4 linked regions of the Daphnia pulex genome follow. The protein of the gene in region 2 purifies or fractionates together with the protein of the main gene of each other region. This does not show direct contact. Links are inferred from orthologs where the notes say so. Each region holds a gene or a part of one and is shown on either strand. Other genes may lie near its edges.

Evidence for each region. The genes of interacting proteins can lie anywhere in the genome.
Region 1: the proteins of bystin-like (region 2) and 40S ribosomal protein S3-A-like purify together in Homo sapiens (affinity purification with mass spectrometry; 4 studies listed by BioGRID and IntAct, counting the BioPlex papers as one, with this or other methods). This does not show direct contact. The link is inferred for Daphnia pulex from reciprocal best matches to the Homo sapiens genes BYSL and RPS3.
Region 3: the proteins of bystin-like (region 2) and RNA-binding protein PNO1-like fractionate together in Homo sapiens (co-fractionation; 4 studies listed by BioGRID and IntAct, with this or other methods). This does not show direct contact. The link is inferred for Daphnia pulex from reciprocal best matches to the Homo sapiens genes BYSL and PNO1.
Region 4: the proteins of bystin-like (region 2) and serine/threonine-protein kinase RIO2-like purify together in Homo sapiens (affinity purification with mass spectrometry; 3 studies listed by BioGRID and IntAct, with this or other methods). This does not show direct contact. The link is inferred for Daphnia pulex from reciprocal best matches to the Homo sapiens genes BYSL and RIOK2.

The regions. Positions count from the first base shown.
Region 1 is NC_060025.1:408,678-411,848, forward strand, and holds 40S ribosomal protein S3-A-like, read left to right. Parts: upstream 1-1,347; 5' UTR 1,348-1,460; coding exon 1,461-1,493; intron 1,494-1,697; coding exon 1,698-1,781; intron 1,782-1,841; coding exon 1,842-2,077; intron 2,078-2,141; coding exon 2,142-2,329; intron 2,330-2,391; coding exon 2,392-2,579; 3' UTR 2,580-2,671; downstream 2,672-3,171. Other genes in the region: general transcription factor IIF subunit 2-like, read left to right, coding at 1-92. UniProt on the Homo sapiens protein: Component of the small ribosomal subunit. The ribosome is a large ribonucleoprotein complex responsible for the synthesis of proteins in the cell. Has endonuclease activity and plays a role in repair of damaged DNA.
Region 2 is NC_060024.1:1,298,082-1,301,731, forward strand, and holds bystin-like, read left to right. Parts: upstream 1-1,167; 5' UTR 1,168-1,309; intron 1,310-1,366; 5' UTR 1,367-1,369; coding exon 1,370-1,480; intron 1,481-1,561; coding exon 1,562-1,690; intron 1,691-1,745; coding exon 1,746-1,838; intron 1,839-1,910; coding exon 1,911-2,052; intron 2,053-2,109; coding exon 2,110-2,259; intron 2,260-2,328; coding exon 2,329-2,555; intron 2,556-2,619; coding exon 2,620-2,828; intron 2,829-2,903; coding exon 2,904-3,108; 3' UTR 3,109-3,150; downstream 3,151-3,650. UniProt on the Homo sapiens protein: Required for processing of 20S pre-rRNA precursor and biogenesis of 40S ribosomal subunits. May be required for trophinin-dependent regulation of cell adhesion during implantation of human embryos.
Region 3 is NC_060025.1:6,663,209-6,667,375, reverse strand, and holds RNA-binding protein PNO1-like, read right to left. Parts: upstream 2,772-4,167; 5' UTR 1,462-2,771; coding exon 1,104-1,461; intron 999-1,103; coding exon 861-998; intron 809-860; coding exon 567-808; 3' UTR 501-566; downstream 1-500. Other genes in the region: putative mediator of RNA polymerase II transcription subunit 26, read left to right, coding at 1-397; dystroglycan 1-like, read left to right, coding at 3,585-3,830, 4,166-4,167. UniProt on the Homo sapiens protein: Part of the small subunit (SSU) processome, first precursor of the small eukaryotic ribosomal subunit.
Region 4 is NC_060026.1:209,352-213,224, reverse strand, and holds serine/threonine-protein kinase RIO2-like, read left to right. Parts: upstream 1-1,388; 5' UTR 1,389-1,494; coding exon 1,495-1,560; intron 1,561-1,621; coding exon 1,622-1,763; intron 1,764-1,828; coding exon 1,829-1,997; intron 1,998-2,057; coding exon 2,058-2,267; intron 2,268-2,329; coding exon 2,330-2,521; intron 2,522-2,582; coding exon 2,583-2,675; intron 2,676-2,736; coding exon 2,737-3,325; 3' UTR 3,326-3,373; downstream 3,374-3,873. Other genes in the region: mitochondrial mRNA pseudouridine synthase RPUSD3-like, read right to left, coding at 3,406-3,873. UniProt on the Homo sapiens protein: Serine/threonine-protein kinase involved in the final steps of cytoplasmic maturation of the 40S ribosomal subunit. Involved in export of the 40S pre-ribosome particles (pre-40S) from the nucleus to the cytoplasm.

The DNA of each region.
Region 1 (3,171 bases), on a different chromosome or scaffold from region 2:
ATGTTTGTGTATACAATTTGAAGAATCCTCACAAAAACATGTGGGAACTGAAACCGGAATACCGCCACTACAAAGATGAAGACAAGGACTAATAAGTAAACAGTCCATTAACTTTCTAATAAAGCTGTGATTTTCAGAAAACTACTAAACAGCTCTTGGATGCACATAACTTCAGATAACTCAAATGGGTTTCAACTGCCCTTGAAATTGTTCGATAAAATGTTCTCTTAGGCTACAATTTTCCCTTCGTCTAAAAATTCCCGTGCTAACAAGTGTGTGGTCCAATACATCGATGCGAACTTGAAAATTTTACCAATATAATTTATCCCAACCATATCAGGAAGAAATGATTTCATGAGCGAGTTCAGTGCGAAAAGTAGGCTTATGTGCTAACGAGGAACCCCTTTTAAACAGAATCGTAAGATTGTAAAAACAAGAATCAAGTAAAAGGTTACATGTTAATATTTACAGCTTTTCATGGTACCCTACTTACAGTTAACATTATATTATCTCAGTCAAAAGCCATAATCTATTAGAATAGCAACAGCCTGTCTCTTGATGAGATTCATCATCCAACCATGATTCAACCAACAATTTAACGCTGAATATAGTTATCTACAAATTAATTTGTTTTAATTTTCACTAGTTACAATTTGCCAGAATGTAATTTTAAAAATTGTTTATTTGTCAATATAGATACTATAAAATACACCAAACAGAATTATTTCACCAGGAAATCTGCAACTTCAGGTAGCGATGTGAGGGTTCCTGTACAACAACAGAATAAGAATTAGCATTTCAACATCATAGAAAACCATTTAAAGCACACTTCAACAAATTATCCACAGTGTGCCTCAGTGCCTTCAACATCAATTACTTTATGTTACTACTATCAAATGTTTTAATTCGGTTCAATCCATGTGTTCCAAATAAGGAGACAACGGTAGATCAGAATAAATTTTAATTTAGCATGTCCGCTTGGCCACTATAAGCTAAGTAGAGCTAGTGTGGTTCAAAGGAATGCAAAATTCAGTCTTAGTTGCATGAATTAAATAAGATATTTACCGAAACGAATACAAAACTGGCTAGCAGCAATCAAACCAGATGGGGGAGCTTCACATGCTTCAAATGGCGTTTTACAGTCCTACTTATAACATTTGATTTCGTCCAACGCTGTTGAATTTCGGACTTCCTGTCGGAGTTGACAGATGGAAAATCTACAATAAAACTTTTGAAATCTTTTAAACAAATATGAACCAATTAAACTTGTTTATAATTTATTATTTCTATAATGATAGTTGAAAAAATTTTAAAAAGCAAACTGAAATAAATTATGTGGGAAGATGAATTCCGAAAGAGGGGGTTGAGAAGGAGGCAATGCTGGGCTTGTCAACTTCGTCTACAGAAAAAGTACTGTGTATTCCTTCTTCCTCTCGTAGACCGGTCTTAAAATACGTGAAATGGCTACGGCTCAGATCTCGAAAAAACGAAAGGCAAGTAATTCTTTCAACACGTGAATCTTTTTCATCTTGTTCTCACATATTCACCGTTTGAATATTGAGGTGTTATTGATGAAATAGAACAGTTTCTAACCAGGATGTGAAAGATTTTGGAGGATAAAATTCGTCTTGGCTTGACATGTTTCTATTGTCAGTGTGCTTGAGTTTACCTAATTTTCTTATAATTTTGTATTACAGTTTGTGGCGGGAGGTGTCTTCAAGGCTGAATTGAACGCCTTCTTGACCCGTGAATTGGCCGAAGATGGTTATTCTGGAGTTGAGGTAATTCTTGTGAAATTATTTTGTTACTGTGTAGATATCTAAAACCCATTTTCCTATTAGGTGCGCCTTGCCCCCACTCGCACAGAAATCATCATTCTGGCTACACGTACCCAGAATGTTTTGGGTGAGAAAGGCCGTCGCATTCGCGAGTTGACATCTGTTGTCCAAAAGAGATTTGGCTTCCAAGAGGGAACTGTTGAGCTCTATGCTGAGAAGGTTGCTACTCGTGGCTTGTGTGCTATTGCCCAAGCTGAGTCCCTGCGCTACAAACTCATTGGTGGTTTGGCTGTTCGCAGGTAAGCTAATTCAATAGGCTGACGTTTAAATAGTGCATTTCTGATGTAATGTGTTGTTACACAGAGCTTGTTATGGTGTTCTCCGTTTCATCATGGAGTCTGGAGCTAAGGGTTGTGAAGTTGTTGTATCTGGCAAACTTCGAGGTCAGCGAGCCAAGAGCATGAAGTTCGTCGATGGTCTGATGATCCACAGTGGAGAACCCACCAACGTCTACGTCGACACTGCCGTCAGACACGTCTTGCTTCGCCAGGGTAATTTATTGTGCATTATATTGACTTGGGAGGAATCTTTCTAATCATCTTTGTTATTGTAGGAGTACTTGGTATTAAGGTTAAGATCATGTTGCCGTGGGATCCCAACAACAAGAACGGACCCAAGAGACCTTTGCCAGACAATGTTTCCATCCTGGAACCTAAAGATGAGACACACATCGCAGAGGAACTTAAAGCAGCCAAGATGTCCGACATCGCAGCAGCACCTCCCACCCAAGCTGCTGCCTAAGGAGTGTTTCGTCTATTTACTGGGCTGGTGTCGATTAACTACCGTAGTTTCCAATATGAAACGAGAGTTAAATACATGCTTTGCCTGGTCAAGGTTGTGTTTTATTTATTATCCTACACCCTACTTTTCTTTTTACGCTCAAATTAAACTTACCAATTAATTTAGGTAATGAAGCAAGTCCAAGAATTGATGTGTAAAAAATCTTAGTAAATTAGAGTAAGGTCTGCGTGAAAAACAAGGTTTTCCAACTACCGCTGTCGGCGTGAGACTTATTTCAGTAAGTGGTTCTGCAATTGAACGTGTCGGTTGCTGAAAATAGTTCTCGTAGAATAATTGTGCACTACATGCCGACAGTGAACTTCAAAATACGGTTCAATGCAGAGCTGCTGCAGTTTGTTAATTTATAATTGTTTTATCGTTATCCATCTCATGAAGAAAAGTTAAAGTGAAATGTTACCGATATTGTCGATGTTGTGGTTACTCGTGTTACTGGAAAGGTAAGAACTTTTCTTTAATTTTCTTAATCTAGTGTATTTAAGAGCTTACGTGAGCATTGACATTTAAGCATTTTCTTGGTGATTCAGGATGAAAG
Region 2 (3,650 bases):
TCGCCTTATAGCATTGGACAAGAGCCTGCGCAACGACGAAGAAGCAAAATCGACATCTGATACTGCCTATCTCAGTAAGCCGAACAGAGATGAATCACAGCACAAAGAGCAAGCACTTCCTGCCCAGTACGGTCAGAACAAAGGAAAAAGCCACCCTTCCAGTCAACATGCTGGTATACCGAGAACATGCTGGGAGTGCAACTCCACTACGCATGTTAGAGCTCAATGCCGTCAATACAAACGCCGGCGTGAGAGAGAAGGAGAAGAAGCGGACAGAAAAAGGAAGCGTTACGATCGACATGACAGAAGAGATGATAAACTATGTAAGCTCCCAGGAGCAACTGGCCGATGCACTCACGAAACCCCTGGCTGCTCCACGCTTCAAGTATCTCCGTGACAAGATTGGCGTTCGGGGTGTAGGGGAGGTGTAACTGAAGAGTTAAAGGAGGCTGATATTTCTTTTCTTATTATTTGTCTTGTGACACTGAACCTAGTATTTATGTCTGATTCAAATATGCTGTGTATTCTGTGCTCATGTTTATTTTTGGGGGTCCAGTTTGAGGGGAGGTGTTGAGTATAAAAGATAAACAAACTGGACAGTGCGGCAACGCAGGATAGCCAGGAAAGAAGAGAGGGGGAGAAGGACCTACCCAGACAAAGGAATAAGAGAGGGGGACTCAGTGCTGTTGACGATTGTGGCTAGGCGAGTAGCAATACAAAGCGTTCTTTGCAGCAAACAGGTTCACGTGTTAATTTCTATATCAACACTGCTAACATAAAGCTATAGTAGCAATATGGTTGTTACACATAAGCTACATAGAATATTACATAGTATACGTGGCTTATAAAAGAGAGGTAGGACCGTAGGAGTAAAAATTATTTTGAATTTTGAGATTCTGTTATAAACGGCGTGTACGTCGCGTTGATTCCTAAATAAGTTATACTTTTTCTCCGTAACTAATTCAATACTTTTTCTCCGTTTTTTGCGCAAGGTAAACTCAGGAGTAACGAAAAAAAGTAAAACCCTTCCGATTCAGAAGAATCCTTAAGCTAAAATAATATATTTAATAATTAAAAAATATAAAGATTGGCTGGAACTGGGAGATGGTCTATTCTATCTTTTAATTTTTTCTCTGAATTTAAATAGCTACAGAGAATTCCTCATAGGGGTGCTGCTTGCGACACGACACAGGGGGCGATGTCACATCTTCAAAAAATTCGGGCCGCCTACATTCTAGGTTACTGTACACACAATTTACATCCCCACGTGTTGTCTAAACATTTGTGAGGTTACCGCTCATAGATACTAGTAAGTAGTAACTAGTAATTTCATTGCAATCCAAGTCTTTACGTGTGTTATCAATAGAAAATGGGTAAAGCAAAGAGACTGAAAGTTTCAAAGACAGGAACTGGAAGAACTGAAGGTCTTGACAAACAGATTTCAAAAGAAGAAATTGCCTCAAGTAAAGGGCGAGTCAAGGTAAGTTTAATTGAAATATTTTTATTGCTTCAAGAGACTTCTGTGAATTAATAGGTGTATCTATTTTGGTTGTTTCAATAGGTCAGAGGGAGAACTGATGCAGATGATGAGTTTGTTGATGATAAACTCTCAGCAAGGATTTTGAAACAAGCCCATCAACAACAACAAGAACTTGAAGAAGAAATTGAAGGAACTGGCTCTTCGTTTAAAGTAAGCTCTACGTTGCTCAAAGTTTTATTAACTTGGTTAATTTTATGTTTACTAGGCAAGAGCCACTTCCTTAGGAGCAGATTTAGATGGAGATGGAAACAGTGAAGAATCAGACTTTGAAAAGGATTCACAATTTGAGGAAGATGTGGTAAGGTTAACTGCTTATTAATCATATCAAGATGATGGTTAAGATACTGATGGTTGACTGTATTCTCTATAGCAAGTTGATGAAGAGGATGAAAAAGCCCTGGCATTGTTTATGAATCCCAACCCAGCACCAAGGAGAACTCTGGCAGACATAATTTTAGAAAAAATAACAGAAAAACAGACAGAGATCCAGAGTCAATTTTCTGAAATTGAAAGTAAGTTGCAAATTTATTTGATTTAAATGGACTAGAAATAACTTGATAACATTTAAGGCGTCAAGTTTCAAGATGTGGATCCTCGAGTTAAATCGTTGTACCTGGGTGTGGCATCAGTTTTACATCGCTATCGAAGTGGAAAATTACCCAAAGCTTTCAAACTGATTCCTTCATTGCAAAATTGGGAGCAAATTTTGTATATTACTGGTAATAAGATTTTCTGTTTGGTATAATTGCAATTAAACTTAAAAACTGATTTGTATGTTCTGCTTTTAGATCCGGAGAAATGGAGTGCCGCCGCCATGTATGCTGCTACACGAATATTCACATCCAACTTGACAGAAAAAATGGCCCAGCGGTTTTTTAACTTGGTTCTTCTGCCACGTGTTCGTGATGATATTGCCGAGTTCAAAAAACTTAATTTTCATCTTTATCAAGCCTTACGTAAAGCCCTCTTTAAACCTGGCGCGTTTTTTAAGGGATTTCTTCTTCCGATCTGCGAGGTTGTGTTAGATTGTTTTTCATATTTTCAAATTGTTTCATATACATTTTCATATTTAATTGCAGAGTGGGACTTGCACTTTAAGAGAAGCCATAATTATTGGTTCCGTCATTGCTCGCTGTTCCATTCCCGTTCTACACTCTGCTGCAGCGATCTTGAAACTTGCTGAAATGAATTATAGTGGATCGAACTCGATATTTTTGAGAATATTCTTCGACAAAAAATACGCTTTGCCGTATCGTGTGGTTGACGCAGCTGTTCATCATTTCGTAAAGTAATATATTTACACTTTTTATGAAATACTGGATTGTAACTCTTGTTAATTAATCTTTCCTTTGTTTGCATGTAGATTTCAGCTGGATACAAGGGAAATGCCTGTTTTGTGGCATCAATCACTTCTAACCTTCAGTCAACGATACAAGGCTGATCTTAGTAGTGAACAAAAAGAAGCGTTGCTTCAAGTGATTTCCGTTCACAAACATCATACATTAACACCAGAAATCCGTCGTGAATTGTTACACTCCTCTTGCAGAGATGAAGAAATGATAGATTAAAATGAAAGATACTGTGAATAATAAACTCGGCGTCTGAATTCATTTGTTTTCTATTCCTAGCAAACAGTGTTTGATTATGAGAAGTCAAGATGGAATGAGATCTTACCTGTGGTTATGAAACGGATTTTTGGAACATTCGTATTTTTAGATGTTATATCATCAGTTGAACGAAATATCATCGCTGAATATCGATTTGCGATACTAAAAGCAACATAAGCCAATTCAATTTCAATATAGGTTAATATACGTTCTTTATTTCCAAGGCACTTCGGAAAACATTGAAAGAGATATTACACACATCTCTTTTCCCTATCCCTTCAAAAACTGTCAGCCAAAAATACATTCGGACTTGTTACGATTTTACGAGGTTAAAGAACGAAACGCTTAAGCATGACGGTGAAAACACAAAAGGTAGAAACTGCGACTGATTATACACGCCTTGAGTGAAACCATTATTAACTAGTGATTGGTTAACAAGATATAAGTTTGATCTGATACCAACATTCATAGGGGGGAGGGGGGGGGGGAAAGGCAAATTATGT
Region 3 (4,167 bases), on a different chromosome or scaffold from region 2:
CCAGCAAACCAAAAACGGAGCAACTTCTGGACAAAATCGATCCACTACCGAGATTAGTTTGGTGCCTCCTAATACGACCTCATCAACTCAGTCTTCCTGTTGTAAGGAACCTACTGCAATATCGATGGAAAAAGCAACTTCATCTGGCAGCGAATTTTATATTCCTATAGTCGACTTGAAGCGACTGGATGTTATTTCTAAACTTGAATCAATGGGCATTAATCAGTTTATTCCCGCATCCAATTTGACGTCTTGCAATGGTCACAATAACTTAGCCATACCTATTATGTCAGCTGCAGCTCTTCGGAAGTCTGGGACGACGACGGGGTTCCCTAGTCTCTGTGGGGTAGTTAATCTCGGCATTCCTAAATCATTTTCCTCGACTCTTCCCAAGTAACTCGCTTCTAACTATTAGCAGTAACTTTCTGCTAACTATTAGCTTCTCCACATGTTACCTGTAGTAAACCTCGCGACTTTTCTTTTATGATAATACAATTTTATACCATGAGTTCATTGAAGTGTATTGGAAAATGCCAATAGTCTGTTTTGTACAGTGTAACAAGTCTTTAGAAACGATCAGATGACCTACTAGCAACGGCTCTCAAATTACCATAAACTTTAGAAGGAGGGGAGCCCAAAATAAGATTACAAATAGCTCTTTTAGCAATCTGAATGTTTTGGTATGAACCAAGAATATGAATTTTCTGATCAGCCAAAACAATTCTTGTCTTCGTTACGTTTTCAATGGTGAATTTTGTCCGACCACCCTTTCCTGCCAATCTTCCAATTGCTCTGTTCAAATGGTCACCTAAGAAAACACATTAGCCACTGTTTGCAACTTAAAAGTAATACTTTAATACCTTTAAGAGATGATTTGACATCTTTGATCTCAAAAGAATCAACAAAGAGATCATCAAGACGAATCAGAGCCAATGCATCTTCTACTTCAAACCCACAGATGAAAGCCTTCACGAAATCAGCAGCCTTTTGAACATTTGCTGTAAATGTGATAAAAATATATAAATAAAATAATTCAAGTAAAAAAAAAACTCTTTGCCAATTAAAAACAAACAGAATTATTAAACACAAATGTAATTTTGTACCTATTTCTTTAGTGTCCTTGCATGTTCGAAGCTCAACTTGGCGATTCTTCAAATTGAACCTGATTTGAAGATGAAGATGTTCAACAATAGGAGTAAAAAGTTTCATCCAATTTTCTTTCAATGGAGAATATCTGTGAGCAGGCACAGATATTTTACGTATTTCGACTCCGTTCTCCAACTTTTCTCTCTTGATAGGGGGGAAGGCGGGTCTATCCACAGCAGTCTCTTCCGACACCTCCATTGATGTACTTTCATTTTTCTCCGCATTTTCAGGCTGAATAGCTTTGCGTTTCGCAGCTTTGCGTTTAGGCACTTTTACAAAATCACTGCTAGACTTTGTTTGGTTACTGACTTCCATTGTTACTTAAGATAGATTACCACGTGTATCTATTAGAACTCAGAAAAGTCAAAAGAAGCTTTGGGTGGGCAGACGAAACTTATTTTTACTGAGCTCTCTCTAACGAGTAACGGCTGTACTATCGGCTAAAGACACCTAGCGGTATTTATCAAAAACTTGTCTTTGTCAAAATAAAAAACAAATCCTTGATCCTTCCTGCTTTTTTTTTTGTTTTTTCAATCTATCAAAATCAGAAGTGACCCCTATAATCTCATGACGAGACGTCGAAAGAGCTCAGATTTGAACGAAACTATCGTTGAATGTTCCATAATAGCCTACTCAAAAACCTTCAATGGTGTGACTCCTTTTCGAAAAATCCAGAAAAACTAAACAAATGGAATCGGGATTTTTTTGTAATCTCGTTGAAGCGTCGAGCTCTTGGGAGGTGGGAAACAGTTTCAGCTTTACGTTGCTCTCAGCCGTGTAATACGGTTTATCTATTTTGGTTTGGTAATTCTAAGCGCATCCAATACCATATAAGAAATAAGCTTTTCGACTTTTCTTGTCGACAACTTTGTTTTTTAAATTGAATTCGGGGGAAAAGTTCTCGTGTAGGAATGCTGTGTCTTTTCATGAAGTAATCATTCTTCATTCTTTCTTCAGAAAATATAGTATTGGTTTGAATATGCTGGGGCCTCGTATTTATTATTATTAATTCACAAAGCGGAGTCGGGCGGACTTTCTATTATATCTATAACCATCCTCATACCATGTTATAACTGTGACTAGGACCTTGGTCACTAGCTGTCAATTTTTTACTCTACTGATTTTTTTATCATCAGACGTCAAACCAGAAATCACTGAAAGTCGCGTGAATATGTCTGAGCGGTCATTATTGCTGGGATTATTTACTGGGATTCATTTGATTCAGCTCATCCCAGTTGCTTCTGTATGTATTTAAAGGCTTGTATTTAATTTCCTCTTTAAGTGTGTTTAGTTTTAGTAGTAGTGAGAAGCTTTTAAAACCTGTTGGCACTCTAACCTGATTGCAACAATTTATTCTTAAGAAATAATCTATCACTATGCGAATGGTGGCCTTGTTCTTGTCACGAATACCAGCCTGTGCCTAGTTAACTGTAAGCTGTATTCGTGGGCTATCTGTTGGCGCGTTCGTGTTAAGTTACAACACGACCGTGAAAACCGCATAGAACCCCATATACAGGCCGTTACCCTTATAAGGCCCCCTTTTTTGGTTGCTTCTTCCCTGGAATATGCATAAGACTATTAGTCTGAAGCATCCGGTTTTCGACTTAAAGTACAAGAGGGAAAGGAGATGAATGACTTCGTGTCGTTATTTTTGTTCGACTCGAAATGCTGCGCGATCTAATATTGTAAATCAATCTTTTGAACATCAATGTCCGGTCGTGAGTAAACTACTACTGAACCAGTAATGTCCTCCGACTTCCCGTTTCCAGTCGTCACTGAGCTATATTGCTGAAACTTGATTCTACCATGGGTTTTGTGTTGTGTGTCGTCGAGACACTTGAGATTTAAAAAAAGAAAGAAAAAAACTAGTCGATGTTCGACGGCTTGGAACTTGCTTTAGACAGAAGAGGCTTCGTGTTTAGTATTCTTCCCCTCCCCTTTTGCCCAGTCTAGTCTCAGTCCTCCCCTGAAATGTATCGGATTCGGTTGTTATAGAAGTGCAGCTGAAGGCCATAATACTTGTATTGGTAAGTCCATAAAGTTAGTTAAAATCATTGATATTTAATAAGACTGGGTCGTGTCAAATTCTTCTCCCTTTTGAGTTGGTTTTTATCTTGATTGTGAACACCGATTAAGTGGAAAGAGGCTCTAAATGTGCTCATGTACCACACCCGCAAGGCATTTTTATGTTAATCGCGTCATCGTTTACATTACACCAACTTCCCCTCTTTGTGGGTATTTTTCGCCTTTTCGTTTCCCTAGCTGCTTATTCTCGCATCTCAACTTGGGGGGAGAGTCTGTCTCATGGGAGAACTTTTGTACTGCATAACTAGACAAATATATAAATATTAAATTATTTATATTACCTTTGTTTTTGTAGATGCTGCAGCTGCTGGCATAGATTGTTGAAGTTTCCTTGAACCAACTCACACTTTCTCATGCTGTCAACAAAAATGCCCAATCCGTGGATTTTCTTTCTGCTGAGTGCCTTTTGCTCAGTCCAAGGCAGCTTTAATATGGAACCTGTTCGAAATCCAGTTCTAAATAGGCTTGATATTCCTGCTCAGCTGAACCATCATCAGCAGGATTTACAACTGCAAGACCATAAGAATATTCCTGATGTCACTGTTGAAGCCGGCAAACCATTCATCATAAATCTACCATCGCAGACTTCTATGGCTGAGGTGATTGCAACACTAAACAAATGTTCAGAATTTTCTTGACGGAAGTAGGGAGGTGGTTTAGAGTTGCATGAAAAGCATTGGCACCATTTCAATGGAAGGATGTTATCATGTTGCTATTGGATGACTATCCCATGTCATGACCCCTACCCCTTCTCAACTCCCCCACCCACCCAAGAGGATATCTGTGTAATTGCAAGACATTTGATATGCTAATGATTGCGACATGTCCGTTTATCTTTAGTGGAATCGTCGGAGTCGTTCCTAGAATGTTTTTATTTTTCAAAGTTCGTTATTTATTTTTGTTCTTTGTTTTGATGTTTGTTTTTTTCCCACAGGT
Region 4 (3,873 bases), on a different chromosome or scaffold from region 2:
TCACATGTAGCGAGTGTGCACTGTGCACTTTAAAAAAAAGAAAAGGAAGACATAAAAAGCCTAATAATTTTGGAAGAAACAAATTATGCAAAAAAATACGACCAATTTCCGTCTTATGTGTTCTTGTGTTGGTGTGCCATTATTTCATAAGATTTTTCGTCCTATTTTACTCGTTTGAAACTCATGCACTGCATTAAATGTGGATTCGAAAACTTAACCAATTTAACCAGGGATAAACTCGAAAACCGAGATCTTGGTGACACCTCAAAATATTGTGTACGTATACTCGTTATAGACATAATCAAAACACCGCAAGTAAAAAACATTGAATCGTTAAATAAATCAACAGGAAAATAGCACTGCCCACTGGGAGCCATCACGTGGCATGAAAAAGTCAATGCCATATTCTCAGTGACGACGGTCACATTAGCCCACAAAGCACAAAGTATGAAGGTTACTATCAATTAATCCAAACCCTTTTTCATTCCCCAAATTATTCGCAAGTAATTTAACAACATAACAATTTAGTTTGAATATGCTTACGGGATAGAATTCGTGTTCGATTTTCTAGACATCTTAACTGAAACAGCTCTACGTGGGTGTGACGCACTTTATACGTTCTGTTAAACACTGACTATACGGATTAAAGTTAGTGAAATTACATTCCTTATTCAAATTATCAAGTTTTATACGAATATTTTTAACTTGAACTCATTCAAGGATGAACCTGGAAGAAACCACAAAGGTTTCTCTCATGGCAACTACTTGCATATGCCATAACATGATTTATAACAATTCAACGTCCTTTTTTCTAAAATTATTCACAAGTAATCTTACAGTGGTACAATTTAACTTGAATGGATTTACCGTAGGATTCATTGCAAGCCGACGTCTAAAACCAGTGAAACACAGCTCTACGTCGTGGTATGACTTGCTGAACGTTCTGACTTCTGAGACACAAATTGACTACAGTAATAAACAAAAATATTTGTTCCAAATTAGTAAAAATCACTTCGTTCAATTAAATTACATAAGAACAAACCTTCTCCAAAACCGTGTTAGTCTAACCACATCCGCAAGTGTCCATCTCCGTTCTCTGCTTACACTCATGACTCATCTCATCTAAAGACAAACCTGCTGGAAGAAACCGCGCAGAACCATGCACGTCTATTGTCTAGTGGCTCTAAAACTGAAGAAAAGAAGTCGCGAAAATACACCGGTGTCAGATTGTAACCTTCACGAACGATTTCTGTGAAATAAAAAATTTAAAAATCTTATTTTCAAGGTGATTGCGATTGATTAATTAGATCAATTTTAATTATTTGAAACTTGAAAAATTTAGTTTAAAATTTTAAGTTTTCAAGATTTCAACGTAGCTAGGCTAGCAGACGATTACTTATTTCCAGCCAATGCCAATGTGAGTGTGTAGCAATGTGCGACAAAGTTGGTTAGGTCCTTAAATTTTCACGTGTATAAATATTTCCTTCTTAAGAAATGGGGAAAATTAACGTTTCTCTTCTTCGTTACTTGAATACAGAAGACTACCGTGTTTTGACGGCTGTAAGTAGCTTACTACAAAACACTAAAAACAGTACTTCTTAACTTCACTTTTAATTGACAGGTTGAAATGGGCATGAAAAATCACGAGCTCGTCAACACAAAATTGATTGCGACAATTGCCCAGCTAGCAGGTGGTGGAGCCCACAAAATCCTTATGAGACTGTCTAAAGAACGATTGGTTGCTTATGAGCGTGGAAAACATTGTAACACAACATGTCACATTCTTTAATATTTCAATTATTTTAATTTTTTTTTGCTATTAATTTAGATGACGGTTACCGATTAACCAATTTGGGTTATGACTTTTTGGCTCTTAAAACCTTTGTGAAGAAGAATGTGCTTTATTCTTTTGGTAATCAGATTGGTGTGGGTAAAGAAGCTGATGTCTATGTGGTGGGCAATGAAGAACAAAAACAGCTGTGCTTGAAAATCCACAGGTAATTTCGTGTGCTCCTGTAATTCATATTGAATTTTCTAATAATTTGTGTTAATTACAGATTGGGGCGAACGTCTTTCCGCAAGATTAAAGAAAAACGAGATTACCATCAACATCGTAACAACGCCTCTTGGATTTACCTTTCCCGACTGTCTGCTACACGTGAATTTGCCTACATGAAGGCCCTTCACGAGCGTGAATTTCCCGTACCCGAACCCATTGACTTTAATCGTCATTGTGTTCTCATGGAGCTGGTGAACGGCTACCCCCTGTAATTGAATTTCTTCTTTGATATTTAATTAATTTGTACTAAATTCTCGTTTCTTTCACTAGATGCCAATTGAGAGAGCTGAAGGATGCAGGTGCACTGTTTGAAGAATTGATGAATTTGTTGTTGAAATTGGCCAATCACGGTGTGATTCACAGTGATTTCAACGAGTTCAACATCATGATAGATGAAGATGAGAAGCCCATTCTGATTGATTTCCCACAGATGGTGTCCACCAGTCATGTCGAGGCTGAACAGTAATTTCGCCCTTCATTAAAAATTCAACAGTTTTGTTTGTAATCGGAATTTTGTTTCAAGGTTTTTCGACCGCGACGTGAAATGCCTCAGAGATTTCTTCAAACGACGTTTCAATTTTGAGGGGGAAGCATATCCTGCTTTTAGTGACGTGGTGTAAGTTGAAATCAATAAATTACGTAAACTTATATCAATTACTTATAGTAAATTCAAACAGGCGAGAGGCCAATATCGATGTGGAGGTTGCAGCCAGCGGCTATGTCAAAGAACTCGAAGAAGAATTGGAAGAAGATTATGAAGAAGAATCAGACAATGAAGTCGAAGCTGATCACAACGATTTACCGGAAGAGAAAATCTCAAAAGAAGTTCCGCCATCTGAAAATAAAACTTCTGTTACTGAAGACGTGAAAGAACCAACCACAGCAGAGTCGACCCCAGATGAACCGTTGCCAGTTGAAAATAAAATTCTTGAGCCCATCAACGAACCACTTGATCCGGAATACGTTCCAGAAGTGTCTATTGAAGGGCTAGCAGAAGACGCCGAAGATGTGGAACAACTTTCAGAGATGTTGACGGACTGGTCGGGCATCAAAACCAAGAGAAGCGGAGCTGGCAGTACCGCTTCCATGTCGACCATCCATCCGGATGTCATCAAACAGAGAGTGAAGAGCACCATAACAAGGCGACAGAACATGCAAGCAGTGCAGAGAATACGCGCCAAAGGTGAAGCAAGTGCCGCCACCCGAAAGAAGCGAGAAAATAAAGATATGATTCGTTCTGATGGTATCTGGGGATGGGACAATTGAAAATTGTAACTTACTTTGACATATACACTGAGTTGTTAACAAAACAAATGTTTTTACTATAAATTTATTTACAAAAGTTGTCATTCATTAGAGTTGGGCAAATTTAAACCAAAGGTCTCACAGATGAACTGAAAACCAGGAGGAGGTTCAGCTTTAAGAACTAAATTTGAATTTCGACTGGCGAAATTTGCCAGATTAATTTGACTTAGATGAAGACAATTGGGTACTGATCCACTTTCAACCACCTTAAGTCGAGCTAAAATGGCTGCAGGGATTTTCTGAAAGTTTGACAAGTAGTCAGCTTGAACGGGGCTGATGGTTAAACGTTTGCCTTTGATTTCTTGAACGCGATTGCCGAATATGTGATCTCCAAGAATAGGTGAGAACAGGTGGGCAAAGTACACACGCAAAAAGTGATTTTTGACGGACGAGACATTGATTTCCACCAGACTGCAAGGTCCATCTCCATGGGATAACGTTTTGTAGTTTATTTTGTACTCCTGGACAAGGTTTTCAGCTACTTTCTTCTTGCTGTATTCTTTCATGAT